3 linked regions of the Neurospora crassa OR74A genome follow. The protein of the gene in region 1 interacts with the protein of each later gene in a pairwise test. Links are inferred from orthologs where the notes say so. Each region holds a gene or a part of one and is shown in the gene's direction. Other genes may lie near its edges.

Evidence for each region. The genes of interacting proteins can lie anywhere in the genome.
Region 2: the proteins of NCU06367 (region 1) and NCU05276 interact in binary tests that used the Saccharomyces cerevisiae proteins (3 or more experiments, as listed by UniProt). The link is inferred for Neurospora crassa OR74A from reciprocal best matches to the Saccharomyces cerevisiae genes YIP4 and YIP5.
Region 3: the proteins of NCU06367 (region 1) and NCU02733 interact in a two-hybrid assay, tested with the Saccharomyces cerevisiae proteins (2 studies listed by BioGRID). The link is inferred for Neurospora crassa OR74A from reciprocal best matches to the Saccharomyces cerevisiae genes YIP4 and TVP23.

What each region holds. Positions count from the first base shown.
Region 1 is NC_026504.1:2,759,142-2,769,305, reverse strand, and holds NCU06367 (Yip1 domain-containing protein), read left to right. Parts: upstream 1-3,880; 5' UTR 3,881-4,195; coding exon 4,196-4,274; intron 4,275-4,398; coding exon 4,399-5,008; intron 5,009-5,153; coding exon 5,154-5,403; 3' UTR 5,404-5,748; downstream 5,749-10,164. Other genes in the region: NCU06366 (Ca2+/H+ antiporter), read left to right, coding at 1,711-2,216, 2,287-2,514, 2,589-3,369; NCU06368 (hypothetical protein), read right to left, coding at 5,860-6,690; NCU06369 (oxidoreductase), read left to right, coding at 7,273-8,535; NCU16794 (hypothetical protein), read right to left, coding at 10,013-10,164. UniProt on the Saccharomyces cerevisiae protein: May be involved in proper membrane localization of Rab GTPases.
Region 2 is NC_026504.1:5,491,663-5,501,727, reverse strand, and holds NCU05276 (Yip1 domain family), read left to right. Parts: upstream 1-3,983; 5' UTR 3,984-4,247; coding exon 4,248-4,292; intron 4,293-4,389; coding exon 4,390-4,846; intron 4,847-4,942; coding exon 4,943-5,385; 3' UTR 5,386-5,615; downstream 5,616-10,065. Other genes in the region: NCU16890 (hypothetical protein), read left to right, coding at 384-500, 580-1,197, 1,264-1,474, 1,536-1,949, 2,033-2,403; NCU05275 (ubiquitin-60S ribosomal protein L40 fusion protein), read left to right, coding at 2,760-2,760, 2,830-2,836, 2,928-3,108, 3,281-3,391, 3,458-3,544; NCU05277 (hypothetical protein), read right to left, coding at 5,870-5,977, 6,111-6,416. UniProt on the Saccharomyces cerevisiae protein: Possible role in vesicle-mediated transport. May be involved in proper membrane localization of Rab GTPases.
Region 3 is NC_026501.1:3,356,464-3,366,307, reverse strand, and holds NCU02733 (golgi apparatus membrane protein tvp-23), read left to right. Parts: upstream 1-3,841; 5' UTR 3,842-4,002; coding exon 4,003-4,093; intron 4,094-4,294; coding exon 4,295-4,340; exon of another isoform or gene 4,341-4,522; coding exon 4,523-4,806; intron 4,807-4,942; coding exon 4,943-5,097; 3' UTR 5,098-5,394; downstream 5,395-9,844. Other genes in the region: NCU02735 (hypothetical protein), read left to right, coding at 1-20, 307-372, 480-908, 971-1,105; NCU02734 (citrate lyase beta subunit), read right to left, coding at 2,047-2,303, 2,397-3,059, 3,129-3,168; NCU02732 (hypothetical protein), read right to left, coding at 5,743-6,965, 7,077-7,458. UniProt on the Saccharomyces cerevisiae protein: Golgi membrane protein involved in vesicular trafficking.

The sequences.
Region 1 (10,164 bases):
CGTCTTGTTTGGAATTCCCGGTTCAAGTATGTAACTATAGATCCCGGCTTACCCCAGAAATGTTTTCGTCTTCCCCATGGGGTCCTTGTTGCTTGTGTCCACCTTTCCCAAGCACAACGTTTCTCCAAACTCATGCAGGTGATGGTTAGTCCCCGGAATGAGGGCATCGCCATGAAGTAAGGCGACGCCTTCCTGGGACAGTCCCACGCCAAAACGTTGTACACTACGAAAACGAGAGAACAAGTTTTCAAGGAAGCTTGGCTGACGACCTTTGTGCAGCACAAAAAAAGCCACCCGCCATGGCACTGCCAAAGTCATATGTACATATATGGGACCCGCCTTGGCACATGATGACTGCTTTGACGTGTTTTGCACATTGAGTGGTTCCATCATTTGTTGTTGCTTTTGTGTTTGGATGGTGTTTACTCAGCGAATGCTACGGATATGGGCTGTGCAGCGATCAACCTCGTCTTAACAAGCTGGGGCCGAGGGCTCTACACTAGATTTAGTGTAGCGTCGGTACACTTGGTAAAGAGGATCCACCGCGATGTTTATTTAGCGGAGATCTGTGCACAACGACTGCCGCCGATTCTGCTGCCATGGTGTTTCTGCCTATTCATTAGCTTCCTCGTATCCGTCAAATATAGTGTGCAGTTACACATCACTGGCTTCGACACCTAGAGGTAAGCTTTTCGGCACTCGAAATCCATCTTCCGATTTGCCGAAGAACATCAACAAGAGAGAAGATGTCACACTTGAAGCTAGCGCATGGAAGGCTGGGCGAATGGGATTGCACTCGTCTGGATCCTCATCTGCAACTGGGTCTCCCAGCCCTCCAGTCCGAACTCCGTCCACCCCAAAAGCCCCAGTCAAACCCCCCAGTCTGGCCTGAAACCCGACGCCGACGAGCCTCGCTCGCCAAAGGGAAGCCAGCTGTGTCTGCACCAACGGATTCTTGGCGCTTGGCTGCCTCTAGGGGTCCACCTGGTGTAAGAAGAGCAGGGTGGCTCCTGCATCGAACCCCGAGCCTAGACCCATGATAAACGGTTTTCTAACAGCGACGGACCATGCGCAAATGGGGAGCATGAGCGTGGGTTGACTTCAGCTCTCTCTCTCTCTCTCTCTCTCTATTTTCTTCCCGTGGGGTTGTGAGCGTCATCTGGTCCAATTATCAGATATGTATGCTTCTTGTGAGTCCTGCGATCATTGAGTGAGACCGACGTGGATGCTCATAAATATCACGTCTTGATACTCTTCCTCCTCCTCATTCTTCGTCTTACAAACTTGCTACTGTCCTGTTGTCTCCAGCCATCTTCCTATCAAAGAGTTCCCGCCTGTCTCGCCTCGTACATAGTCGTACTTTTTCGTCTTACAAGCTTACTACTCCACCTGAACTTTGGTCGGGCTGTGATGCCTACCTACCTAAGCCAGTGCTGACCGCCTTCACCTAGTGGCTTGCCGATTGGGCTCTTTTTTCATCTCTCTTCCCCACCTCTGTTTACAAGTCGTCCTTGCTGAAATCCATTATTTTGTCGGTCTTGAATAAAGGACGCTGTATCTTGGGGGGTCACTGTTCGTCGAGACGAGCAACTGCAAACAAACATCTCTGGTACAGGAGGAGCGCTACTGGGAAGCCACCTACCTGTCTACAACTACAAATCTTCACCCATTTCACTCGCAACATATCTTACACAGCAACCAAAACACACCATGACATCGCCCTACCATGCAGCGGCGCGAGAAAAGCGCGCCGCCGAACGTATTTTGGACGAGAGAAACCCCAACTCTGGAAACGTCCCGCGCGGCTCCTCTTCCAGCCGAGGTCCTCAACAGCTTCCTCTCCACTCTGATCCCATCGGAACAGAAGGCCGCGGCCATGGTTCTCACCACCACCACCACCACCACCACCACCCACCGGCCCCAAAATCGTGGTTCCCTGTTCGCGCAGGCGGCGAAAGTGGCCGAAGCGGCATCCACCCATGGCATTTTTTTCGCATCGTGTTCCGCTCGTCCTCGCTGGCGTCTCGCATGGTCAACGTGCTATGGCCCGTGGTGCCCGCTGCCATCGCCCTCAGATACGCCGCCCCTCATCAGGATCTGGCTATATTCATATTGGCGTATATTGCTATGGTGCCTTGTGCGAACTTGGTTGGGTTTGCGGGACAGAATTTGGCCAAGAAGGTGCCGCATGTGTTTGGTGTGTTAGCCGAGACGACGTGAGTATTTTCTTCCTGCTTCCGCCTGGGACATGGTTATGTAACGCTGCTAACTGGCTACGGTCGACAGCTTCGGGTCGCTGGTCGAGATTATTCTGTTTATAGTCCTGATAAAACGGTATAGCCCTACCCAAGCAGTGGACTACACCCAGGTTATCAGGGCTGCGATCCTAGGTTCAATCCTTGCTACGATGCTGCTCTGCCTGGGCTTCTGTTTCGTTGCTGCTGGTTTCAAGCGCGAGGAGACGCACTTTAGCGAAATTGTCAGTGAAGCCGGTAGCGGGCTGTTGCTCACTGCGTAAGTTCCCACGTCCATCACACCAGAGCTCCGTGTCTACCAGGCGCAAGTACTCACTGTTTCTTCTGTCACAGTGGATTCGGCCTAGCCGTTCCTACAGCCTTCTATAACGCCCTTCATGGCCGCTTAGACACAAAAGAACTCGAGCGCAAAACCCTCGAAATTTCACGTAGCACCGCTGTCTTGCTCATCATCGCCTATCTCGTGTACGTCTTCTTCCAGATGCGCACCCACCACGGTATCTACGACGCTATCTTCGAGGCCGACGCCGAGCGTGATGACGACAAGCATAAGGAGCTTCAGAGTCATCGCCTCACTCTGATCGAGTCCATCATCGCCTTGGCCGTGGGCGTCGCCCTTGTTACGATCATTGCCATCATGCTCGTCGACAGAATCCACTTTCTAGTTGAGGAACGCGGCGTCTCCGATGCCTTTCTCGGTTTGATCATGATTCCACTTGTCGAAAAGGCCGCAGAGCACTTGACGGCCGTAGACGAAGCGTACGACAACCAGATGAATATCGCCCTATCGACGGTACTGGGCTCAACGCTACAGACGGCCCTTTTCAATGGCCCTCTCGTGGTGATTGTCGGCTGGGGAATGAACAAGCCCATGGGGTTTAACTTTGAGCTGTTCGACCTAGCTATGCTGATCCTCGCTATTTTGACAGTCGGAAACTTCTTGAGGGACCAGAAGACTAATTACCTGGAGGGTATGTTGTGTGTGATCGTGTATGTGGCCATCGGCGTGGCAGCAGCTCACTACCCGAACCCTCAGGAGCTCCATGAGGCATTCCCGACGGCGGGCACGTCTCCAGCTCCAGCAACGAGTGGGTCGGAGGGTGGTCATCATTAAGCCAATGGCTGCATGTCTGTTAGATTGTCGGGGAAGGAAAAGGGTGGACGAGTTTTACCATAGGATGCATGTTTCGAACCATGGTGGCTTACAAAGTCCAAACAGGGATATTGAAAAGAAGATGGAGGATAGGTACTTTCTGTTATTATCGTTTCAGCTACATTTAGACGCCGTGGAACAGGGGCGAGGAGTGTCTGGAATGTATCAATATACACGGCGAAGTGACGGTGAAAGTGTTGTAAAGCATACAATCCATTATCAGCTATCTTTTGCAGGGAAGCTTAGAGACAGGATGCAAATGAAAAAAAATGATATCAGGACTTTACAAGACATTGTGTTAGGAAGTCTGATGAAGGTGGAAGGCTTGGGTTGAATGATGTTTGCGCACTCATAAACCCTAACCCTGGGGTAATACCACAAGTAGAGCTCGGGCCACTTTGGAGCACTGCCCTGTAGCAGCGACAAACGTCAGCGCCTTGACCCGTGGGGGGAAGGGGTCGTCCGCCGTGCTGAACATGGGGACGTGGCCCGTCCAATCCAATCGGCCCCCCCCCCAAGAACATTGAAGCTTCTCTGACGGAGCTTTCCACACAACAGCTCCTACCTAGGCAGGCATACCACCACCATTAATCACGAACACCTCTGGCACTGTATCCCGCCCGGCTGGGAATAGGTTCTTGACATCCCAATCGACCGAACACTGACCGACTGAAAGGGGCCAACCTTGATTGCGTCCGATAATCCTGCCCACCCAAACAGGGAAGCTTACACCTTCTGCCACAAACGAACAACTCGCCTGGCCGCATTCACGCACGACGACTCAAAGATGGCCTCACTGGGTGGTAAAGACTACCACCATCAGCAACCAATGTTGGACGACGATGATCTGATAGATCCTGACGATGGTAAGCTCTACTGACTTCCTTGAGTTTCTCGCAATTACATCTCTGTCGTCCACGTAGACATACACCTTCCACCCCACTCGACAACAACGAGACAATTGCTAACACAGACATTTCCCAAACAAAGCCGACCTAAACGACTTCGACGACCCTCTTGCCCCCTCCTCCTCCCGCGCACCCTTAACCGGCACCATCGGCTCTTCGTCCTCCTCCACCGCCGCCGCCGGCGGCATCGGCTCGTCCTCTTCCGGAGGGAACACCCAATCAGCCTGGACCTCCCGCATTCCCGGCGAGGACCGTCGTGCGCCCAACAACACCATCGACGAGACGGTCTGGGAGACGCTCCGCCGTGATCTGCTCGCCGTGTGGTCCAAGATGCGCGAGGTGCTGTATCCGCGCTACCTCTTTGGCGGCACCATGCTCGAGTCCGAAGACGGCCTGCGGGGCGCCTACGCCAACATCCGGAACGCCGGCCTGTCGGGCGCCAGGGAGGAGTTGACGGGCTTGGCGAGCAGAGTGATGGACCCCGAGTCTCTGCTGCAGCAGGGGAATATGAGTCCTGGATTGAGGGACTGGGATCTTTGGGGCCCGTTGATCTTCTGTCTGTTGCTGAGTACTCTGCTGAGCTTCAGGAGCAGGGAGCAGCAGAGGGAGATTGTGTTTAGCGGTGTGTTTGCAATGGTGTGGATTGGTGAGGCGGTGGTGACGGCGCAGATCAAGTTGTTGGGTGGGAATATGTGAGTGGTTTTTTTTTTTTTTTTTTTTTTTTTTTTTTTTTTTTTTTTTTTCCCTCGTTTTCTTGTGGCTTGTTGTAGCCGACAAGCTACAGCATTGATGAGATGATAGTGTGGCCATGCTAACAGTTTTGGTTCCAACAAACAGCTCTTTCGCCCAAAGCGTTTGTATCATCGGATACACCCTTTTCCCTCTCGTCCTGGCTGCCATGCTCTCCGCTCTCTCGCTGTACTGGGTCGCCCGGATTCCGGTGTACCTGGTGCTTGTAGGCTGGTCCTTTGCGGCAGGCATAAGCATTCTCAGTGGAAGCGGCGTTGTTAAGAACCGCGTTGGGTTGGCGGTCTTCCCCCTTCTGATCTTCTATTTTGCTCTGGGGTGTCTGTGCTTCATTAGTTAATGGGTTTGTTTCAGAGGTTGTTCGCATTTAAGAGAGGGCTGTCAACACGTTCCACCTGGTAGCAAATATGCAAAGGGGACGATTAAGGAAAAAAAGTGACCAAGGAAGATTAATCTAGGGAGTCACTCGGCTGTATCACAGATCAAATAGGCAAGTTGACGTTGATGTTGGGAAACTGATTCCCGTCACATGGTTCCCGGTATGACATTGCCCTGGCTTTAGGTGAGCAAAGGTGCGTATTACCGTGCGCTGATCCTTTTGATTCGTTGTTCGTTGTGACATCTTTCGCCCTCTTCACCTTGGGGGTCAACATACGGATCCCCTTGTATAAAGTCAAGATTTTCTCTACATCTGCCGCTGATACCGACTATCGCGAAATTAGCTAACCACTTGGTTATATCACACTCAGTTAGATGGCCTATAAATCATATAGGCCCTCAACCACTTTGTTACCCTTTAGCCCCCCTTCCCCAAATACCTCTCCAGATCAGGTCCTCTCCCCCACAACTCCCTCTGTATCCTTTCCGCTTTCTTCTTCTCCACCTCGGCCATCTTCCGAACCTTTTTCGCGTCCAACAACTTTTCCTTCTTCTTTGGCAGCACTGGCAGCTGCCCATTCTTAGGCACCTCTACCCCAAGCCCCAAGTGATCATCTTTCTTCTTGCCCTTAATGGGGAACTGGATTCCCTGTGCCGCGGACCCGAGACCTTGGCGGGAGTCTGGGTCCCAGCCGTGGCTTGTAAGATGTTTGAGCCCCATCCGTGAACGGTCAAGCGCTGAGGGAGGGTGGGAATGTGGAAGGCGAGATTGGTGCGCAAAGGACTGTTCGTGGATAGCTTTGGATTCTGGATTAGGTGCGTAGGGGAGGCTACAGATCTGGCAGATTTCCTGTTGTGGTAATACTATTGGTGGCTGTTCTGTTGGCATTGTAGTGGTTTGGATTGTGTCTGAGGTAGTGGTGGTGGTGGTAAAGGTGGTGGTGGTGGTAATATCCGTCACTGTTGATTGATTTCCATTTTGTTTCTCGTTGTTTTTGTTTTTGTCCTTGTTGGCGAGAACCATGTCCAGGTAAAGACCAGCTACGTCAAGTTTTGGCTTGTTGGACTTGGTCGTTGTTGAACTGGTTGAATCTAGATCGCCATCGGAGGCGGGGACGAACTTTATCTGTTGTTTGTATAACCCGGTGCCAAAGGGGCGAAGGTGGTGGAGGGGGACGTCTTCTGCATCATCGTTGTCTGTAACCTTGACGGCTCGCCTGTCTGAGGAACCCATTGTTTGTGGGTACATGCGCAAAGCTTTGTCTTAGATGAGTCTGTGTCAACGTTTTGTAAATGACGGTGGAGGAGAGATGGACAAGCTGTGTTAATGGGTTCGTGAATTGATGTACTTGTAAAGGCTCAGTGGACCGTCAAGTGGTGAAGTTGTACGTAGTAGTAATTGATGGGGCAATCACGGGAGAACCTTGATGCCCGCGCTTGAGGCGTGGTTAGTGGGGCCTGATGCCTGCCGTCGATGCGGCTCTGTTTCGGTTCCTGGTCGTGGTCCCCGCCATGTTGGACCCACCCATTCCTCCATCCGGACTTCGGTCGGTTTTGGTGGACTAGGTCGCTAATTATAGCCCCTGAAACCTTGACGTAACCTTGTTTGAGCTGCTGTGGTTGGAGCCAAAACTTCTGGCCAGTTGGGCCTGTAGCCAATTGCGATAGCTCCTCCTTTCTCGAGCTTGTTGTCCTCTTTTATGAGCGTTCTTTGCTTCTGCACCAACAACAACAACAACAGCAACAAAAGCAACAACATCTCAGGATCCGCAGAATGACCTTGTAACATTACTGGAAGCACTAACGATCCCTTCGAAACCCATCCCGCATAATGCCAATTCCCTTCCTCGCCAGCGTCCTCATGGACGGGTGGCCATCATGGCTACCCGGGCCGTGGACTCTCACCAAGGCCGGCAGCGCTCTCGGAGCCATCGCGATCACAAAGATCTACGCCAGTGGCGCGACATGTACGGCTGAACGGAACATGCACGGTCGCGTTGTCATGATCACCGGCGGCACATCAGGAATCGGCGCCGCTACGGTCTACGAGCTTGCCAAGCGAGGCGCCCAAATCATCCTCCTCACACACCACGAACATAACGACGCCTTTCTCGTCGACTTCATTGATGACATGCGCGACCGCACCAACAACCAGCTTATTTACGCCGAACAAGTTGATCTACGTTCCCTGCACAGCGTCCGAAAATTTGCGACAAAATGGGTTGACAACGCTCCTCCCCGCCGCCTCGACACCATCATCCTCTGCGGATCGACCCTCACACCGCCCGGAAAGGCGAGGACTGAGACACCGGATGGAGTGGAGAGCACCTGGCAGGTTAACTTCCTCTCCAACTTCCATCTGCTGGGCATCCTCAGTCCCGCGATCCGCGCCCAGCCGTTCGACCGCGACGTGCGCATCATCATCCCGACATGCTCCGCCTACATCCGCTCGCCGTCGTTGGATAAAGCTTTGGATAAGAAGGACTGGTCCCCCGGCAAGGCATACGCGCGGAGTAAGATGGCCATGATGGTGTTTGGCAAGGCCTATCAGAAGCACCTGGACGCATACAAGAGGCCCGATGAGCTTCCGATGAATGCGCGCGTCTTTTTGGTGGATCCTGGATACTCGAGAACGCCTGGCATGCGCCGGTGGCTTACTAGAGGCACCGTATGGGGTCTCATTGTGTACCTTTTCCTTTACGTCTTTTCCTGGCTTTTCCTCAAGAGCGCAAGGATGGGCGCGCAGTCTATCTTGTGGGCGGTTATGGAAGGCAGTCTCGTGCGCGACAAGGGTGGAAAGGTAGTCAAGGAGTGCATGGTGGTCGACTGCGCACGGAAGGATGTGGACGACGAAGCCATTGCGAAAAAGCTGTGGGAATCAAGCGATAAGCTGATTGAGGAGAAGGAGAAGGATGCGGCTGCAAAGCGGGCAAGGGCAAAGAAACGAGAAATGGAGAAGGAGGAGGAGAAAAAGGAACGGGAACGTGTTGAGGAGATTGAAGCTTTAGTAAACACGATTAAGAAGGGGAAGCAGAAAGACAAGGAAAAGCCCAAGAGTGGGAAGAAGGCGAAAAATGGAGAGAAGACTGCCTAGAAGGAGGTCAAATAGACCAGTAACAGCATATAGATTTCACGTTCTCATAGTGTAGACTGAAGACTAGGTACCATCCAGTAATGTACGTACAAAATGCAGGCAGGCTGTGGAATTGAATCCCGATGCTCGGGGACGGGCCGATCCATGAGCGGAACCCCCCTCGGGCGCTTAGCAGGCAGGCAGGCAGGACACCATATTGAGCGGGGATAGAACGCCGGGCTGGTAATTATAGTGGGGCTCTTTCGGCACTTCACGTGAAGATGATCAACAATGACGAACTATGTAAATACTTAGTATCCTGGGCGATCCAACGTCCCGGGATCATGAATTTCTGGGGTGCATCAGATGTCGCTCATTTAATCTCCGCCGAGCTATTCGTTCCTGAAATCAGAACTAGTATTTTATCAATCAAGAAGCCGAGTTTCGGCCCCAGTGATCATATCCGTTCTCAACCTCCGGAAGGCTCACACAGTTGACTATTGCCCTCAACAACACACAGCTTCACGGGCCTCCCTCAACTCCAACTCTACTACGCAGTTCAACCGTGACTTCACCCAACCTATAAGCCGAGAGATCACAAAATACCAAATATACTGGCCCTTAAGACCACCAACGCAAGCAAATCATCAACACCAAACCATTCTATGACGACCCTCCTATTAAACCCCACAAAGGCTCAGGTACCGCTACTACTATCATCATCTTCGTCACCTTCACTCTCACAATCCAGAACAAAGCACCTTACGCCTGTTCCGAAAGCGGCAATGCCACCATCACCTACCATGACTCTCGACCCATCCCACTGCCATCCGGTTTTCTTCACGCCAAGACTGCGAAGAAGTCCGTCTTTTACACTTCAAAAACCCGGACCTAGTGGCACATCATCGTCGCATGCGGTGAGCCCGGTGGTTCATGGGTATATGTTCCAAGACGCGCAAAGGCTTCAGAAGCAAGGGGTTGTGAGCCTGGGAAACATGGCAATTGGGCCGGCGAAGGTTGCTGGGGGAAGTTCGAGGCTATGAGGATGCTGGATGAAAATCGGTGTGGATGAGGAGGCGTCAGATGCGAGACATACAGTCGGGACTCGGGGGCATTTCTGACGCCCCATGGTGTTGAAATTATGAGTGGTGTGTTGTTCATAGCCAGGTTAACTCGTATCACCATTATCGTTTCTCAGGATCGTGCGTGGGACGTTATAGTATGGACTTCGTAAGGTCTCAAGCAATCACTGATGATCCCAAGCCGAATTCAAGACAGGAAATGTGCAGATACCTTTCAACTTGGCATTACAACATGCCAATTCTCTTCCTCCCGGCAACTCACTCGACAACGGACCACCAAGCACCAGTGACTACCAACTAGGCCCCTAGCTATACACTAGGTCCTTCACCTTATCTTTCGGATGTTTCCCAATGAAACATATCGTTAAGCAATTCAGCGAAAAAGTGGCTGGCGGTGTTGGTTGACTAGGGTCTCATTATCTGTTTTTCTTCTTTTTCTTTATTTCTCCCGGTGATCTCTTCATGGCAATTTTGACGGCAAAGGAGGTGATGATGATACTAAGCGACGACATCACTGTCATCGTAGTGAAGCGGGCGCTTTTGGTGGAGAGCTTGTGGCTGTCGCTGT
Region 2 (10,065 bases), about 2.7 Mb from region 1:
AAAGCGGCGTTTTGTATCTTGGCGAGTTTTGGCGACTTTCATCAGAAGGAAGGTCAAAGGCAAAGTCGGCTCGCGCTTTTTCAGCTTGGGTTTGAAATTTTCATTCTTTCGGCGAGTCGCATCTCTACCCAACACGCTTTCAACATAAGTGTAACTATCGTCACTTTATCCTTTTTTTCCAGCTGTATTATACCCATCTTTACTCTACACACAGGAGACCTTTGCAGCCCTCAATCATTTGACCATTCCCCTCACGAACCCGTGCGTCCGTTTTCATTACTCACTCACTCACCCCGCTCGACCATGCGTCATCAGTGACGGGACATAGCGAGGAACAACGTTACAGTCTTAACAAGCAGGCACGCAGCCAAGCGCTACAGAGTATGGATGAACAAAGGCTGCGAAAGTTTCCCAACGGACAGAGATGTACCGAATGCCGTGCGCGAAAGTACTACTCGGAGAATGGACGAAGATATTGTCAGCGCGGTCATGAAGTTGAGGTACGATCAACCACTTCAAAACAATCAAATGCAAATTGACTCCCATATCCAGTCGCTAATCCCATACATATATCTCCAGGGGTACATCCAATTCGACGTCGACGAAGACGACAACTACGGTAAAACCGGTAAGGTAGTGCGCAAAGAAAAAGAAGTGCGCGAAACCGAGCGCAAACATCTCTCAGGCAACGACGCCAAGGAACTCTACCTCGACTGCTTGCAGATCATCTTGCGCAAACAAATCCTCTGGCTGATCCGCGAAAAAGGGTTCTCGGACGAGCTCGAGTCTATCTGCCGCGATCTCTGGGACCTACGCATCCGCAAGTTCATTGGTCTCAAAAGCGTTTCCAGGGCATCATCACTCCAGGCGAAAGGAAAGGGGATTGATCACGATGGAACGGGGTCGCAATATGGTGGCGGTGGTGGTGGTGCGCTCTCTCAGTCGGGTTCCGATAGCGAGATGGTCATGTACAGCTCGCAGGCGGAAACGACGGATACGTCGGCTGATGAGAGTGTGAAGAGCCAGAGGAGGAGGTCAAGCAGGGTGAAGGATTGGGAGAGCGAGCTGTGGGATCTGCCTGGCCCGATGGAAGTGCTGGCGCTGATTTATATGGGGTGTCTGCTCAAGCAGGAGCCGGTGAGGGTAGGGGATATTTATCGGTGGGCGAAGAACAACCAGTTGCCGTTTCTTGGTGCGGTAAGTTGGTGTGTAGTTTTGTACTCACAAGAAGGTTCGCTTACTGACATTCTTCTTGCTACTCAGCTTGAACTGGTGCCGAACGAACTACGAGAACGTTTACCTGGCTGGGCTCAGCGCACGCTATTAACACGATGGGCAAAGTTTGACGGAAGCGAGCTTCACAAGTCGTTGTTGACCTTGACCCTAGGTTTTAAGAAGAACTATGGCATGGTATCACCACCACTCCCAGCACCGTCACTCCTCATCTTATACCTCAAAGATCTGGCTCTACCACGTAAGTTCTGCCGCCCCTCTTCCTCTAAAGTCACACACTCTAATCATCATCATCATACCAGCCGAGGTACACCTCCACGCCCGACAAATTTGCCTCATGCTCAACCTCTCCTGGACCTTCCCAACGCGCCAAAACATTAAAGACGACGCGTCTTCCTTCACCGGCAAGACCTCTCGCTACACCCTCCTCGACATCCCAGACGTGCTACTAGTCGCCTCTCTAGTGCTAGCAACCAAGTACATGTACCCCATGGACGGCGTCAAGCGGTATCCACGAGACAACAACGACCCATTAACGTTGAAGATGGACTGGGATGCTTGGGAGGCTGAGTTCGCAGATCCGCCCGAGAAGCCGCTGAGGAGGCTCGACTTTGCGACCATGGATGCGGAGAAGGTTTGGACTTTGAGTAAGGAGCAGATGGTGGAGTATTTGGATTGGTATCAGGAGACGCAGCTGAAATCATGGAGCGCTGCTGGTATGTCTTTCTCCTTCTCCTCCTTTCCCTCTCAGGGTGTCCGTCAGAATGCAAACGATTTACTGACAGACACTTGAAAACAGACGAAACCGAAATCGAACGTCTCTTCCCTCTCGAGAACGTCCTGCGATTACCGGAACCCGGCAGCAAAGACATGACCGATGAGCAGCTCATTGCTCGGATGCATCGAGTGCAAAAGTCGATGACGCTGGTTGAACCGAGGCCTGAGACTAATGATGGGAAGAATATCAAGAGGCTGGGTGCACTTCATCAGCGGTTTAGGTCGGTTGAGCAACTTGGAGAATCTGGACCTGCGAGAAGGTTCCATGAGAAAGCAGCGGAGATCTCGGGGCTGTCACTGAAGGCTTTGGTGAAGGCGGTTTATAGTCTGGAGGAACTGTTGTATGGTTGGGAGAAGAGGGAGAAGAGGAAGATGAGGTTGGGGGAGGTATGACTTGCTTTGAATACTTGCCTGAGCTGTTTCTCGGGATCAAACCAGTATGAGACCGATACTGTGACAGAAGATATCCATATTGAGCATTAGAAGAAGAGCACAAATCGGGTGCGGTTGAGGAAACTACTTAGCAATCGTTGGTGGAGGCGACCTTCTGGTGTTGAAGATGGAGGTACAGTGCAGATATGAAGCTGATGAACACTGTGACATGTGCACGCACCACTTTGCCCAGAGCGGCCGTTCCCATAACCCCACCATCATAGCTTCGTCCTGTTGCTGTTCCCCGACATCATCACATCACTCCCTCCTTCACCACTGCACCTCCAACTGACCACACCTAGGAATAACCGGTCAAGAGTAAGTTAATTACACTGCTTTAGACCAAATCCTCAATTCGTCGAGATGCTAATCTGACCTGAACCGCAGTGCAAATGTGAGTTTTCACGACGTTCCGCAGCACGAAGCAATCAAGCGGAGTTGAGTCAGGTCACTAACAAACGGGACGTTGTACCCCTGGTGTATAGCTTCGTCAAGACCCTCACGGGCAAGACCATCACGCTCGAGGTTGAGTCCTCCGACACGATTGACAATGTCAAGCAGAAGATTCAGGACAAGGAGGGTATCCCGCCCGACCAGCAGCGCCTGATTTTTGCTGGCAAGCAGCTCGAGGATGGCCGCACCCTCTCCGACTACAACATCCAGAAGGTCAGTGGACTGGTGGCCCCACAGCGCGCTTATGACGTAGATGTTATAGGGGTTGGGAATGGGAGGACAACTGCTGTGGTCAACTTCCATTTTTGCGATGGCCATGGGAACAGAAATGGGATTCAATTGATTGGTGTCATGGTCGACTTGCTAACATGGATTTCTGCTATAGGAGTCAACCCTCCACTTGGTCCTCCGTCTGCGCGGTGGTATCATCGAGCCCTCGCTCAAGGCGCTTGCCTCCAAGTTCAACTGCGACAAGATGATTTGCCGCAAGTGCTACGTACGTATACTCTATATCATCTTTTCGCCTTCTCAAATGTTGAACCAAGGTCTAACTTGTTTCTAGGCTCGTCTGCCTCCCCGTGCCACCAACTGCCGTAAGCGCAAGTGCGGACACACCAACCAGCTCCGCCCCAAGAAGAAGCTCAAATAGACAGCTCAGTGTTACGTACCAGCATCAGGGTTTGGCGCATTTGGGCTTTTTGGGGGCAAACGGGTATGGTTATGGCAACGGCATAAGGACAACAGGACAGGGAAACACGGGACCTGGGAATGGATGGCTACGGCTGAAAACGTCAAGTCGAGGACTTCTACGTAGCTCATGAATAAACTCGGACATTGCCCGTGGGGATACACAAAAGGGCATTGAAGCTCTCCTACCAAAAGCAGTGATCTTGTAGAATAATTTGAGCTTGATTATGAATGTCGCTCGAAACAGCTCAACTACCTTGATGGCCACTTTGGACCCACGTGACATATTGCGGGGAGTTACTGCAGGGACCGGGAATCCGTTAAGGGGGGGTGCACTGCTGCGGTTTCAGGACCCCAACAGGGGGCGTGCACGCAAGTGTACAGCGGTACGTACCTCTACCTACCTACCTCTACCCTTTGGTGTACGCGGCTCACGTTGAAACAGCTGTCCACCACCAGCTTCCGGAGGGACCAGACCACCTAAGTAGCTTTGGAGGAGCTTACCTATCGAGAGACCGACTTACACTAAGCATAAACTAATCATACCATTTGACTCCAAGGCGATTCACAGCTATCGGCGTGTTCCCAAGCTCCAACCAAATCACCATCGAAAGACTTGTCATCACAGCTCACATCCGACCAACAGACAGCAAACAACCGCCACCATGTCCAGATCAGGCTACGATGCAGTCGTAGACGTCGACGACGAGGTTAGTTCGCCCTCTCCTCCCCTCCCATCCGCTCCCATGGTAGTCATTGATCTTTACATACCCAACTAACCACCCTTTTTTCTCCTTCTCTCTCCAGGGCGACCTAGGCCACACCGACCTCCAAGAAGATCTCGAATTCCACCAATCCAACTTTTCCGAATCCTCCCCCCTCGGGCGCAACGGCACCAAATCCACCCAACACACCAACACCACTTCCACTTCCTCCCTCGGCGGCGGGTTACTTCCCGCTCCCGTAACCGCCGCCCGCACCTCCTCCAACTCGGGAGGAGGAAGCAGCAAGCGCTTCCTCTGGACGCTCTCCTTTTACGCGCAGTTCTTTGACGTGGACACGTCCAGCGTGCTGCAGCGGTGTTGGGCGGCCCTGTACCCGCGAGCCAACTTTTTGGATGTGTTGGAGGGAAATCCGGACCTGTACGGGCCGTTTTGGATCGCGACGACGGTGGTGCTGATTTTGTTCTTGGGCGGGACGATTAGTGATTATTTGGCGCAGACGGGGAAGGAGGCGTTTGCGTATGATTTTCGGTTGTTGAGCGGTAAGTTTTTTGTTTTTTCTTTTTCCCTTTGGGTGAATGGGTGATTGATTTTAGTAAAATTGGGGGCTGATATGTGATCAAAAAAAACAACAACAGGCGCCGCTGGTCTCATCTACGGCTACACCTTTGTCCTGCCGGTCGCTTTGTACCTTGCCCTGCGATACTTTGGTTCGGAATCCGCCAACCTGCTCGAGTGCTGGGCTTTGTACGGTTACTCCAACCTCATCTGGATCCCTGTGGCGCTGATCAGCTGGTCGCCGATTACCATCCTCAACTGGGTGTTTGTGGGCGTGGGGTTCGGCGTGTCGGTGGCCTTTTTGCTCAGGAACCTGTATCCGGTGCTCAGCGCGACGGATCGCCAGACGAGCAAGGTGCTGCTGTTTGTCGTGGTGGCGCTGCACTTTGGTTTGGCCCTGGCCATCAAGGTGCTCTTCTTTGCGCATGGAAGCCCGGCGTTGAAGGATGGTCCGAAGGGAGCTGCCCCGGGTGGTGGGGATGCGAAGCCTGCTGATCCGGCTACGATGATGATGATGTTCTAGGGGCAGGAGGTTAGGATATGAAGGAGATAGGCTTAATAGGAAGAGAGGTACGTTTGGAGCTGTGTGGCCTTGTATCTGATATTTGATGTTTTACTATCTTCATCCGTCAACAAAAGGTTATGGGGGAGGCGTTTGCCGCGATTGGTTTCTGGGATTGATAAGTTCAAGTTCAATCGGATTTTCAATTCAACCTATGACTTCTGCTGAATTGAATTGCGCTGGCAGTTTATTTCACCCATTTGCTGCCCTTTCTTTGGTACGCTGTCCTCCTCTTTCTATCCCGGGTATAACAGGTACACTACAATACGTTCCATCCATCCAGTTCCCAGGTGGTAGAGGTAGACATAAGAAACGCCTCCTCTTAACTACTCCCCTTCTTTTTTCCGTTTTCCTGACCATGCCCTTATGCGTACCCATCATCCTTTTTTATCCCATCCCTCGTGCCGCCCCACCACCCCTCGTGCCGGGGAGGGAGGGACCCCTTTCATTGTCCATACTCGCTATCGATACTTTGAACGATCTGACCTGCCCATAGGGTAATCAAGCCAAACCGCTTGCCACTTCCCCATGCCGCTGCTCGTCTCGAAATCATCTCAAGTCTTCCTAATACTACCACCCACAACAACCCCCCACATTGAAAAAAAGAATCAGTGCCCCATCCTTATTGATGAACCAAGTAGGAACAGCCCTTGTTGTCTGGTGCTGTTCATGGGACTACTACTCACGGACTTGCTGTTGCTCTTGCTCTTGCTGCTGTCTGAAGACGAAGACGGTGACGAAGAAGAAGAAGATCCAAAAGTGGAGTGGAATTTGTCCTTGAGGAGACTGGTTCGGCTGGAGAAACTGGATGTTGAGGTGGTGGATTCGGCGTAGTGGTGGTTCTTCTTCTTGGGTGAGGACTTTGAGGAAGACTGGTGGGAAGAGGCGAGAGGTGGAGATTGTTCCAGGGCGCGAGTGCCTTGGACGATTTGGAGGGCGTGAGAGCGGGAGGTGGGGTGGGAGGGGAAGTTAAAGTTTGTTGAGGCGGACATGATTTTGTTTTTTGGTGTCTGTTGGTCTTTGGGTGGTGGTGGTGGTGATGGTTGGTCGAAGAGTCTTGATGAGGATGTCTTTAGATGGTGTTGGTGGTGTTCAAGTTGTCCGTGTAAGTGAAGCTTCAAGTTGGTTGGTTGGTGGTGTGGTGTGGTTCTTGTGTTCTCGAGGAAGGTACCTAGGTAGGTAGGTAGTACTTGAGATCTGAACGAAGTCTGAAGCTGTTGATGTTGATGATGAACAAAAACACAACATCCTGAAAAGCGAGGCCATCAACTCCTCTTATACATCTCTGATAACTCTGCTTTCTTCCTCCTCCTCCTCCTCCTCCTCCTCCTCCTCCTCATCTCCCCTTACCCATCTGAACCACAACAATAGGTACCTACACTAATTTCGGTGAGGTGAGAAGGGTAAGGCCGATTTCGTCGAACAAAGCAAAGCCACTCCGCCTTTCTCCCCCATCTACCATCGGTATCAACGTATCTCAGTATCCATCCATCCCTTGATGTAAGTGCTTACCAGGTGTGCGTATACACATACGTGTACTACCTCCTACCCTCATCTCCACAGTAACCAAAGAAGAAGAAAAATCAAGGGCATTAGGCTACGCATTCCTTGTCCCTACAACCACGACAACAACAGATGGAATAGTAAGAACCCACCCATGCTCTTGCATATGTAAACCACGTGGGAAACCCTGTCAAACAACTCAGCCCAATTACTACTACTACCAAAAACAATGAAAAGTGAAGCAAAGCAAAGGCCATCATGCCTTAGTAATGAGTCACAGCACCGAAACCAAATTTTTTCTAGTCGAGTATTTGTCAATGGCTAGGTACCTATGCATATTGAAAATGACAGCCAAATGCTCAGCGTAACTCAATAACGTCTACCAAGTATACTATCAAAGTAAGGCTAACTAGGTAGTCTAGTCGTGTGTGGCTGCGCCATCCATTATAATTCACTATGATTCATCATGTGCATGTGCAATTGGGAACCTTTTTCTAGGGGGGGGAAAGTTACATTTTTTTTCGAAACGCCACCCAAGGAGAAAAAAAAAAAAAATATATATATATATATATGTGTCGTTACACAAAGGCACAAAAAGTAGCCGCGTGTGTACGCAGTAGGTAAGTTTGGGAAAAGAAAGACTTGGTCGGCAGTGGATTGCCGAACGAAAAAGCTTACCTACCTCTAGCCGTGCTGACAGCGGCAGGTAGGTACGAAGACTACCTAGCAGGCTACGTTGATGGATTACGTTTGTTTACGCAGTAATAGTTGTCAGTTAAGTTAAGCAACGTAAGTAAGTAGGCTACCAGAATTTTCGGGTTGTATTGGGAAGCACTGCCGTCGTCATACCGCTTTTTGTTTTGTCGTTTCGCTTTGGGGATGTTGGATCGGGGAGTTTTGGTGTTGTTTGGGTCGTTCGACGTACGCGGCCAACCGTGATAAGCAGCGGGGCGGGGATATACATACACAAGGGTCGAAAAGCTTAGTCTAGTTACCCGTCCATTGGAAATCTTATTAATACGTACGTACGTTGGTCACAAAGCTCGGGGTGAAGGTCCACGCATGATGGTGATGATGGTGATGTACGTAGGGTAGTTCAGCCTTAGACTTCACATGTTTATCATTTCAGGGCTGACGTACGTTGGGTGTGGAAGGGATGGATGATGGTTCTAGGAATACACCAGTAGTGTAAGCAGCTTTGGAGGTTACGAATCCCGGCGTCCATAAGAGGGATGAGACTATTCCCAACTGGGATTCAACAGAGAGTCTTCTAACCAATGGGCTCTCTTACCGTTGTGACACACACACACACACCGAAAGCAAAAAAGTTCTTTTCGGGCTACGTATCCGCTGTCAGTTTCTACACTACCTGTCACTTGTGGCATCATAGCGTACGTAGGCTCCAAAAGTTCGTTCGTGGCTTTCTGTCAGTGACTATTGTAGCTTACGCCATCTATGAGTGTAACGTGCAGTTCAAGAGTTCGTTTGTGAGGTTCATATGCCATCCTGCGTGGATCTTGCATAGAGGCTTTTGTGAAAAGCTCAGCCAGAAGAGTCACAGAATGCGCCGTTTCACTCTTTGGCCCGGGAGAGAAGCTTGCGGCGGTGATGCGATTGGGTGCCATTCCAGATGGATGTGGTGATGGTTGGACTCGGACTTATGCGGTGGTGTATCATGCTCCAAGCCACACAAGGACGCCGGTGTGGACGACGGATGAGTCAACGGACAATGAGCTACAGTAAGTACATGCAAGTCAGACTCGATCGAGCTGGCCGAAAAGGGACGGGTTCTCCTAAAGTTTCTGGAATTGGATTCGTCTGATGTTGTCCTCTTTACCGGGCTATCACGACAATGTTTTTCAAAGGTCTTTGACCCCCACTCCGCTTCCAAGTCGACTTCGCTCATCAACAACAAAATCATGGCTCGTCACCATAGGTTCAATGATATGTTTTCGCATCCCATGAAAATGGTCAGACAGTGTTGGTCATTGACCGCTTTCTTCTAACTGAGTTGTCTGGGAAGGATCTCGGGATCTCCAGAGCGACGTTTACACTACGTACACCTCTCGGACGACGAACCCTGACGGCAGTGGACCTCGCTAGAAGCCTTCTAGAATACCAAGCAACCTTGTGAAGGGGTCAGGGGCGGAGCGGCCTTACTTGCGGCACTGAAGAAGGCACTTCGCGACGCGACGCGACGAGTGGTTCGACCGATATTGCCATTGTCGACAGCATCATTGTGAAAGGCGATTCTGTAATATCCGCGAGGGACCGGACCGAAAGTTTGGTGGAGGACCCCAACGTCTGTAGGATGCTGGATGGTTTCGGTGAATTACTGACGCTGGAGCCAATGCCTCTGGAGATCACTCCAGCTTCCACCGTTGTGGATGAGTTGACCCCTGAGATGGGGACTGCCTGATGCAGGTCAACAAGAAGAGCTTCCATTGTCGTACGAAGTGGAAGCTCGAACCAGCCCTTCGGCTCGAAATGACAAGCAGATCAGTACGGGACACATGACATATGAAAGATCTGGACCACAAATCATCGTCATTCAAAAGATCACACAAGTCAGAAATTCCCACAATTCGATGAAGCCATTGATTGGCTTACCGAGACGGGCGGGAGAATGCGAATACGAAAGGAGCACGGACCCCAGCCAGGGGTAGTGCCAAAGCGAACACTAGGCAGACAAGCTGGGCTAAGCCTGATAGGGCACAGATGTGCCATTGGATGGAGGTGATGGATGGTACAGGCACTATCAGTATCAGATGCCATCACTTGTTCCAACCTATGGTTTTCACGCTTTACACGCCTTTCAAATCAATAATCAGTGTAGTAGAAATCTCGAATATGAGCAATCACCATTGCATCCAGACATGGTACACCACTCGTCCAAATGCTTGCTGTGTAGTGTATTGGGAGCTACACTAACAAGAGACGGCGGCTGTTGGCGAGCTTCCTCTTTGCGACAAAGTCTTTCCCGAGGCCGAAAGCAAAGCTGTAGATCCGACTAGCAGTGTCTCACACAATGTGGACTCTGGAGGTCGGTTAGTTTGTTGCACTTGTTGCACCCTGCCTGGGTAAATCAAAGGGAAGTCAAAGGGAAGCGGCTCTTTGGTCCGTGGATTCCAACATGCC
Region 3 (9,844 bases), on another chromosome or scaffold:
AGCTCGGCACAATCACCAAGGTGCGTTCGAGGTGCCCGCTAGCCAGCCTGAGAAGGCGGATTATGTCCACACATGGCTGCAGCGATCACAAGCGAATCGTGCCTGTTCCCCAGAGCCGGTTCCGGGGGACAGACCTCGAAAGGTCTCGCCGCGCGCGCACATGGTCAAGCAGACTAGTCAAAAGAAGAAGAGAGCACGGTCAGAATCGCCCGAGCTAGTACACCCAAGAGAGACCCATAGCCCAAATGCTCTTCGGTTTGAAAAGAAATCCCGACACAACACGAGGCTTGACAAATACGAATACAGGCCAGAGGTAGATCGTCACAAGAGACGGACCCAGACTACAGAACATCGCCGGGAGGACAGTCACGGGTCTTTGGAGGATGTTAAAAGACATACCCGAAGTAAATATCAACATGCGGTGGGTAACTGTCACTAACGTCATTAATAGCAATTTGCTAATGTAGTTCAAATTACAGCAACGAATGAACGAGCATGCCCAACGAACCGACCACGGTACTGCCCGTCGCCAGAGCTCCAAAGCCAGGGAGGTCGAAACTATATCAAGACGCCCTGATCATAGATCAAGAGCGGTGGAGCCAGGACGAAGAAGCCGAAGACAGCAGGCGGAAGCTAAGGAAATGAAAGAGCTGTCTGCATTCTTTACGGGGAGAGCTGACGGTGAAAAAGCGGAAGCTGAGAAAATACACTACCGACCTCATCGAGAACAACGATACGACACTGCTACTGCTAGACATCCGGCTTCAGATATCCGCCAGCAACGAACACATGATTCACCCAGCCCTTCGCTTCTTCCAAGTAGAAGCACTGGCTCTACCAGACAGCCTTCGCCTGCTTCTCTCCGGCCAGACTCTCTTTTCTCTTCGCGTGGTGATGATTCAATACTTGTCCTACCAAATCGTCCGAGTAGCAGATCAACTACATATTTCACATGGTCAACAAGTGACAGGGATCCGGCGCCAGTGTCCAACGTTTCCATTTCAGAGAAACCCCGGAAGAGCATTCAAAGTTCTGCTCGGAAGCTTGTCCTGCAGGAGCGGGAAATAAAGGGCCCACATGTGGTTTCGGAGGATTTCAAGATTAGACCAGCTTCGAGAGCAAAGCGTCATCCACGGAAATCGATAGTGTACCAGGATGCTCAAGTCCAGACATCGTTTGATGCAGATCGGAATCAAAATCGCCAATACCCAAAAAATTCTATACCCCAGTATCAAGATTCCGCAGTCATGACAGCAGACGAAAACAGTAACCTCAAACAACGTGTCTCCATGCTGCCTGCAGAAGCATTGCCAACTATGGACAAGAGAACTGTATATGAGCAGCCCTCATCCAATACAACAGCAACAACGCTACTAGATGTACCACCGCAGCCACAGTTCCAACCTCAACCACAAGCCTGGGTTACCTCTAATGCCAGGGATAGACTCTTTTCTCAGCCGTTTGTAGCAGCGCGTAACTTGTTTGCCCAAGAAGGCTGGCAAACATATCAGGAGCCTTCTCCTAAGCAAGCATCCGGTCGCTATACGAAACTCGTTCCGCCTGAAAGAGTTCGGGCTGTAATGCCTTCTCACCAACCAACCTCTTTGCGCCCTGCAGTTGATCAAATTTCAAGGTCTATTTCATGTCCTCCAGCTCAGCTTTTGTATGCTCATACGCAGGATCCGCCTCGTGAAAGTATGGAAGATTACATCCGCAGAATCGAGCAAGAAGCTCTGCAGAGTTCCACCAACAACGAAGAAATGGATGGATCACAGCCCCATGGTCCAGACCTGACTGAAGGTATAGGGCGGCAGCAGCTCGGCCATGGTTTATATCCCGAAGGCAATGATACATTTCTTCGGGACACTGCGTGGTACAATCAGCATCAACTTCCAACAGACACAGCACATATCCAGGTACAGGATCCCGAATATTTCGACCTAGAGCATTACGGGCAGGGCATAGGGGGTCAAGATACCCGGTTACCGAGACTGTGGGAAGATCCTCGCGAGTTCTGAGATGTGACCTGATCCAGCAGAGAAGCCATCACTCCGGCTTTTGATCTTTCCACTTTGCTTTAATGTTTTCGATATCCATTCCACATTTTGCGGCTTTGGCGACTACCGCCCGAGCCTTTCCAACCACAGGAGCATCAATCATCTTTCCGTCCAAGGTCCAAGCACCTCGACCAGCTGCAGAGGCCTGAGCATCGGCAACGAGGATACGAACGTACCACTCAACCTCGGCCTCTGCTGGAGCAAACATTCGCTGAGTCACTTCGACCTGACTGGGGTGGATACACTCTGTTTGAATGCCAAGTATTAGTGAAGAGCACAGTTCCCATAAGAAAGGCACCGTCGGTACAAGGAATGGAAATTCAGGAATAGGTAACTCACGCTTTCCGTTGAAGCCCATCTCCTTGCCGTTTTGACACTCCTCCTCTAGCTGCTTTACCCCCTCTGGACCCTTGTATGAGGTACAAACAAGGTCAATGGAGCTAGGGAGATCGAATGCTCTGGCAGCAGTTACAATAGCACTTCTGGCGTACAAAAACTCGGCCAAACCTGGCGTTCGCGTAATAGACAGGTCCAACGCAAAATCCTCAGCAGCAAAGATCAGACCACTCAGATACGGTGACGCAGCACATATCGAGCGCAAATCCATGACTGCTCGGGCCGATTCAATCAAGGCAAGTAGCTTGAGAGGGCTTGCCGTGGGGTTAGAAGAATGTCGCTGTGGTGCAGCATGGCGAATGACATCTGTAACGAAGGACAGATCACTAGCACTGTTGACCTTTGGGATGACAATGGCGTCAAGGTTTGGGGCGCTTGCGAGAGTGGTCAGATCATCAAGCGCATAGGGCGTCGAGACAGCATTGATGCGTACAGCAAGCTCTCCAATGGAGGCCGGCTTGTCCGAAAGTGAGGACAGGTGGTCGCGCAATTGTGTGCGAGCGGTCTGCTTGTTTGCTGGAGTCACCGAGTCCTCAAGGTCATAGGTGATATTATCACTAGCCAAGGAGAGTGACTTGGTCATGAACTTCTGAGAAGACGCAGGAACTGGGTCATGCTGAGTTAGCAACTATTGCAGCCATATGACAGGAGGGTTATATCTTGGATAGACCGCACCATATAGGAGCGCCCGACGGAGGACGGAAGAGGTAGCCATGATGTTCAGTTTCAAGTCAACAGGTGGGCTCTGCGGTATGTCTGGATGTTGACGGGATGGAAACTATCTGGGCTCACAAGTATGACCGACCCAGCCACTCATCCACTGCATACACTGCTAACAAAGGCCCGAGAGCATCCTAAACCACTCAGTGACTACTGTCTGTAAATCGGGAAGAGGGGAGAAAGTCAACAGAAGGATGTTGCTGAGCTCAATGGGGAATCGAATGGCATGTGACGTAGCACCAGCGCGGAGCTGTAGCTTCGGGCCGCTGTCGGCTGGGGCGCTATGTCCACTAGATTTTACTGTCCTCCGACCTCCGTTCTCTGGCTCAATATGCATGGTAACTTTGTCCCCGGAGAACCTCATTTTTAAGCAACAATAGGATAAGAAACCGGGAAGCACGGGGATTGCTTTGACGCAAAAAGACATTGAGTTCCATATCGAAGTAAAGCCTGGTTATTTCAGTTCGTAGGGAGGCTTTGTACGGAAGACCAGCATGGTGTTCATGCCCAAGGGGAAACGTGGTTGTAGGTAACGATAGTGCATTAACAGCAATGCTGAGTTGTGTGGGGAAAAGGTACCTCCCAGGTCCTGCCAATTACCTGCAAAAACTGGGTATTTCGATACCTTGAAGTCCTCCCCACCGGATATTCAGCCGTTAATACACCCTAGCTTGTGTTCGAGACGGTCTGTCAGCGCGGAGCTTAGGTGTTCTGACCTGCGCAGTTGCGCATCGTGCAAACGGCTTGGCTTCACCTCTCTCCAACTTCACGACGACACCATTGTGACAAAGTACCTTCGAACCCGGTAACAGGTCACCTTCTGATCCTGATGATGGAAGCAACACCGACGCCCGGCTCTTTGAGCTGGCGCTTGAGCTCGCATCCTATTACGCTCCTGACATTCCTCGCTTTTCGATCATGTAGGTGCTCGCAGTCCCTCTTCCTAGCTCCCTTTGTCAGTGTCTCGAGGATTGGATGTAGCCCATTACGGCCATGATGGGGAGGAGAATGCATTCCGGCAGGATGATGGGTAGAAGGTCACGAAGAGAAGACGGGGGAGGATGGAGCACCCGATACCTGCTACCAAGACACGCTTGCTAAAACCCGATCGCGAACTACAGCCAGTCTCCTTGTCTACCTTTTTGGCCTCTTATTTACCGACAACCTGTAAGGCGACCCCGTCAGCCCCCTTAAACCACACCATATCAGATGCTCGACTTGCCCACTTGCTCGTCTATACAGTCGCAAGCGAACGCGAACCCGAGAGTGTTCCCAGCCTTCCACAGCTTTCATCCATCAGAAGAAATCAAGGGATTAGATTGCTAACCACCCCCCCAACCGACCGGCAGTGTCATGATCTTCATCATAACCATCCTTCTCCTCGCCGGCGACTTTTACTACCTCAAGAACATTGCTGGCCGCCGACTCGTGGGCCTGCGTTGGTGGAACGAGGTCGATCCTAACTCGGGCGACTCGCACTGGGTGTTTGAAAGCAGCGAGCCGGGGACCAAGATCATCAACGCGACCGACAGCCGCTTCTTTTGGCTGGCAATCTATGCGCAGCCGCTGCTGTGGGTTGTGCTGGCTATTGTGGCCTTGTTCAGTTTGAAGTTTATTTGGTTGCCTCTTGTTGGTATGTGCCCCTTTCCCCTCTATCCATCGTACTAGCGCTTGCCAGTTCCCTTGGCTTGCTTGTTGTGCTGCGTGGTTTTTGGGTTGTCAAAAAAGGCATTATATGCTAATCGGAGGTTAATGGGCGTGTTGTATAGCTATTGCGTTGGTTCTTACCATCACCAACTCGCTTGCCTTCTCCAGGTGCGACAAGTTCAGCCAGGCTTCCAACATTGCTGGAACCGCGTTCAGCTCGGGCAACATCGCTGGTAACATTGCGAGCAACATGGTTGGCAGGTTCTTCTCGAGGTAGAGAGCAAGCAGGACGAGATTCCCCGAGGTCAGGGAAAAAGTTGTGGCTTTGGATTAGTATCCGAAGGGACTGTTCTCGTCAGATATCGATAGAGAATTCAGCCCCGAAGATACTTGATGGCCATCTTAGGATTCTCATGTTTTCATGATGTGCATTATGGGTCGGGCTCGAAATTGGTGACAGTATAAGGAACTTTTGCACGACAAATTGCCGATGGTTACCTTCTAGATTCATTGCCAGCAAAAATAGTATCTGAGCAAGACAAGATGTGTGAATTTCAGGGTCCGTTATATGGTGTCCGGCTCAAGTACTAGTAGTCCATGATTTTCTTGTTTCATGCGGATCCTTCGGACATGACATAGGCCATGGCTCTGAGACCACCATTCGGTACGTTCACTCCGTTTCCTCGATGCATTCACATTCTCTGAATCGCTCCATAACTGTTCGCAGAATAAAACAGAAAATGGAAATAGAGTTGCTGATCAAAGATTTTTCGATTTATAACCATCAGATATTGTAGCATCGCCCCTACTGATACGGACATACGTAACTTCCCAAAGATCAACAATGAAAAAGGAAATACTCATATCATCACCCTCTTCCTTAACTACTTTGCTCGGTTATCTTCACTTTCCAAAGCATTCGTCATAGGTGCCTGGAGCCCCTCTGCCCTCCCGCGTGCTGTTCAATGGCCACATCAAGCTGTCGCTCTTCCTCCTCCAACCTCCTGATTTCCTCCTCTGTCATGCCTTCCTCGACCAAATGAGCATACGGCGTTGACAAGCTCCTACCCTGTTGCTGCTGCTGGCTGATCAGACTACCCCGGTTGCTATCAGTGCCTGCTCCCCCATGTGTGAACGATGGTGCGCCGCCACCGCCGCTGTGCAGAGTGGTAGGCGACCCTCCTCCTTCTCCCCCTCCGGACTGATGATCAGAGTACATGGTAAAAGACCTTCCAGACTGATGATCGTGCGGTGTCTGCTGCTGCTGCTGCTGCTGCTGCTGCATCATGTGGTAGGACGGGGCGTTCGAAGCCGGGCTGTCTCCATCTCCTTCTAGTCTCCCATCTGCTCCGGGAAGAACCACCTGAGGGGGAACGCCAGAATCAATGTTAGGAACAACGACACTACCGCTATTCCTGTTGGCACCGGCGTCACCCATTCGCACGAGGTTGTCAGAGTAAGGCGAGTGAGGCGCGCTCGTCACGTCGTGGATGACGCCCGCGTTGGCTTCCTTCTCGGCTATGAGCTCGTCACCGCCGTTCCGACCGCCGCCGCTGGCGAAGCCCCCGTAAGGCCCACCGCGACTGGTGCCGTCTCGAAGGGCGTTTTGCTTGTGGCGCCGCCGGAGGCAGAAAAAGACGATGCCGCTGATGAGAGCGAGGCCGAGGAGGCCGCAGGCTATGGCGATTCCAACGATGGCGCCAATGGAGATACCTTTCTTGCTCTTGAGGTTGGAAGGCTCTCCGGTGCCGCTGCTGACTAGGCCGCCGCCGTTGGTCGGGGTGGCCAAGGTTGCCCCTGGAGTGGGAGAAGGTGATTCGGTTGGCTTTCCGACTCCAGCTGACTGGCCGCCCCCATCGGAGTCGTCCCTGATCGGATGTTCTTCCGGAAAGACCGGGTCAGGGTTGTTGAGCAAAGGATTTAAACCATAACCCTCAAGTATGGTATGGTCTGGCGCAATGTTCCCGATTGTTGTGAAGAGCCGGCTGTAGCTCCTGCCCGTTTTGCCGCCGTTCTTCCAGACAACATCAAAGTACAGCAGCTTCAGCGGGGCTGGCTGGGCTGGCTGGGCTGAGGTATTGTTGAGGTTGAGGATAGTCCAGATATTGTCAATTGTCACCGAGCCTCCTGTAGCATTTGTCTCAACTGTTGGCTCGTTGCCTTCAGTTAGCACGAACGTTCCAGTCATCACGTCACGCCACGGCGAAGAGAGGTTAGGCTTTTAGACAATTTGTGATGCACTTCCTGTTGACTTACCGGTGAGGTTGATGGGATACGACGTAGATGTTGGCAAGGTGATGATATCGCCCTGAGGCGCCATACCTAAGGTTAGATCTGGCCAGCTCCCAATTTTCTGCGAGGTTTTTGCAAGGCTTTGAAGCGAGGCAGGCTCGACTATCGTAGTGTTGCTGTAAAGGTTGACGGTGTTGACAGTGGTACCGCTCGTGTTTGTGATATTCCATCTGAACGTAGTCGCCTCCCAGATTACGGCCGGCTTGCCTGGTATTTCTTTTGTCCCCTGGGTAAATCCGTCACTGTCGCTGAACATAACGATGTCCGTATGAGAATTAAGTGAGGCTGCGCAACCTGCCAATGGCAGACCGGCTAGCAGCCAGCTCCTTTGCGTGGCTATTCGCATGATGAATCGACTCCCGCTTTCCTAGGCCTCCCCCTGTATCCGGCCGTCGACTTCCGAAATGTGTCGTGTAGATTCTCACTTCCTCAAGCAAAATGCCTTGTAGTTCTAGATATACGCATCTCCTCTTATAATCGGCTTCGTTTTCGTTGGTGCCGGTTCGAATCCAGAGCAGATGTGCTGACACCGGTAAGGGACCAGCTGCTAAGAGTGTGCCAGATGAACAAAGGTGTGAGAAAATGGACAACCCAAATGGAACCGGGCACGATGAAATGCGAAGCGTGTGTAGGTAAGACGGCCAGGGTCTGTGGAGTAACAGAGCGAACGAGGCTCGGGAGTAAGCACCAATACCAACTCGGGATAGGAGCAACTATCCGTATGGAAGATTGGATGGATTAGACGCACAATACCCCCATCCGCAGACAGATGAAGGGTGGGACAGGCAGAGGGCGAGGAGTAAAGAAAAGGATCAGATAGGATGGGAGAGCGGGAACTCCTAAGCAAAAAGAAACACCAGGCCAGGCCACAAACGGGCGGGGGGGCCAAGGTCGGGGTGAGCTGGGTTGTTGCTTATGTAGAGCCTGTTGGTGCAGTGGCTTGGGTTGTATGTCAAGCACACTCTGACGCTCGCAAGGGAAGGGGGAAAGGAGAAAACAGAATGGTACAAAAAGGGTAGGATGGAAGGCCGCTCAGCTGAATCAATGGGACCAACAAGTGTCAGATCGGTTCACCCAAGGCCAGTCTGTTCTAGATACGAAAAGATTTCCAGAGATAATATTTCATGGGTACCATCTCCTCTGTCTTGTCTTCTCTTCCTCGGTCACTTTAAACCAGCGAGCTACCCATTCAGCTCGCTCTTATCTCCTTGTGCCACTTGCCTTCCATGTTTGTTTTAGCCTGCTTGTGAGAGGAGGACTCGATTCCCGGTACACTGCATCAGAACTCTTTGCGATGAGTGCCATACGTGTACCACCAGATAGACGATGACCTTTGGCCTTGCCAGGATGCCTTTTCCCCCCCCTTTCTTCATTCGCTCCTTTCTTTACCGTGTGGGCGCAGCAACAATCAGATTACCCCAGCAAGCATGTATGTTTTCTGAATTTTAATTTGAAATATATATATAAAATTTTTTTTCCCTTTTGGGCACTCTTTCGTGTCTTTCTCTACACTATCTTATCAAATAAACCAAAAAAAAAAATTTAAAAATAAAAAAAAATTGCAGAGTGTCACTTATATATCCATAACCAAGAAACGCTGTTTCCTGTGATCTACAACATCCCCTCCCCGTGACTTAGCTTGATTGGGAATTCACTGCGACTTAAGCCTTGGTGGGCTGAATATTGTTTATGTATACTCAAGGGGGGAGAAATGCATTGTAAGGTACTGTGTCAACGGTCTACGTGAACGGTTCTTAGTTTTAAGAAGATAGCCGACCCTTACATGTCCTGTCTGACAGAACCACCTCAAAAGTAATCTCGCACAAACGCCTGCTACCCTCTCGCTTCGTGGCAGCCGACACAGCAGAGAGGGGGGAAGAGGAACAGGCAAACTTTATCTGTGTCGTGTCTCCCCCGTGCATATCCACCCATAGAAAGCCAAAAAGAAGTCAAAAGAGTACTAACAACACCACCCACATTCCTCAATCAGGGGTCCAGTCCGTCCCCGCCTATCCAGCGCATCAACAGACAACGGACAATGGTCACCCAACACCCGATTTAGTATCCTTTCCCGCCGTTCAATTCGGCTGTGCCCCTCCATTCGCAAAGCGGGAACTCGCAAGTTGCAACCTTAACCTTAACCGCCACAGTAGACGCAGCAGCAGGACTGGCGCCAAGAGCGAAAGCGATTCGCTGTCCGATTCCATTCGACGGCATGTTCATGTTCTGGTGCCACAGCCGGAGCACCCAATAGACTATAAGACTGCGTGTCTGCATCTTAAAACTTATTACACTACTTTACTTTCTACAGCAGACGGACAGATTGACAAACTAATGTATATCATAACATTCGTGCTACTGTCAGATACCCAGGGAGAAAGAACACGAGGGCAGAGCAGAAGTGAAAAGACCAGTTTTGAGCTTCGTCAACCTACACCTCGAGCCTACTCAGCACTTCCACAAGCAGCACAGATGGACACGCCGTACACTAGACCAGGCAGACCGGAACACAGCTCTGAAGAACAACCACAATTTACACTGTGGTGAGACGGGTGCGTGACAGCTTTTGAAGCCAGTGCAAGATGAATGGTGTGAAGCACCGTGAAAGCGGCTTGTTGTAAGCACTACCAACTCCTGCAACTGTGCCAAAGGTGCGGCTGACTGGTCGTCGGTTGGATTTTGTGTTTGGGTGTAGAGGTGGAGTTTGATTTGCTGTTTCCCGTTCATTTCAT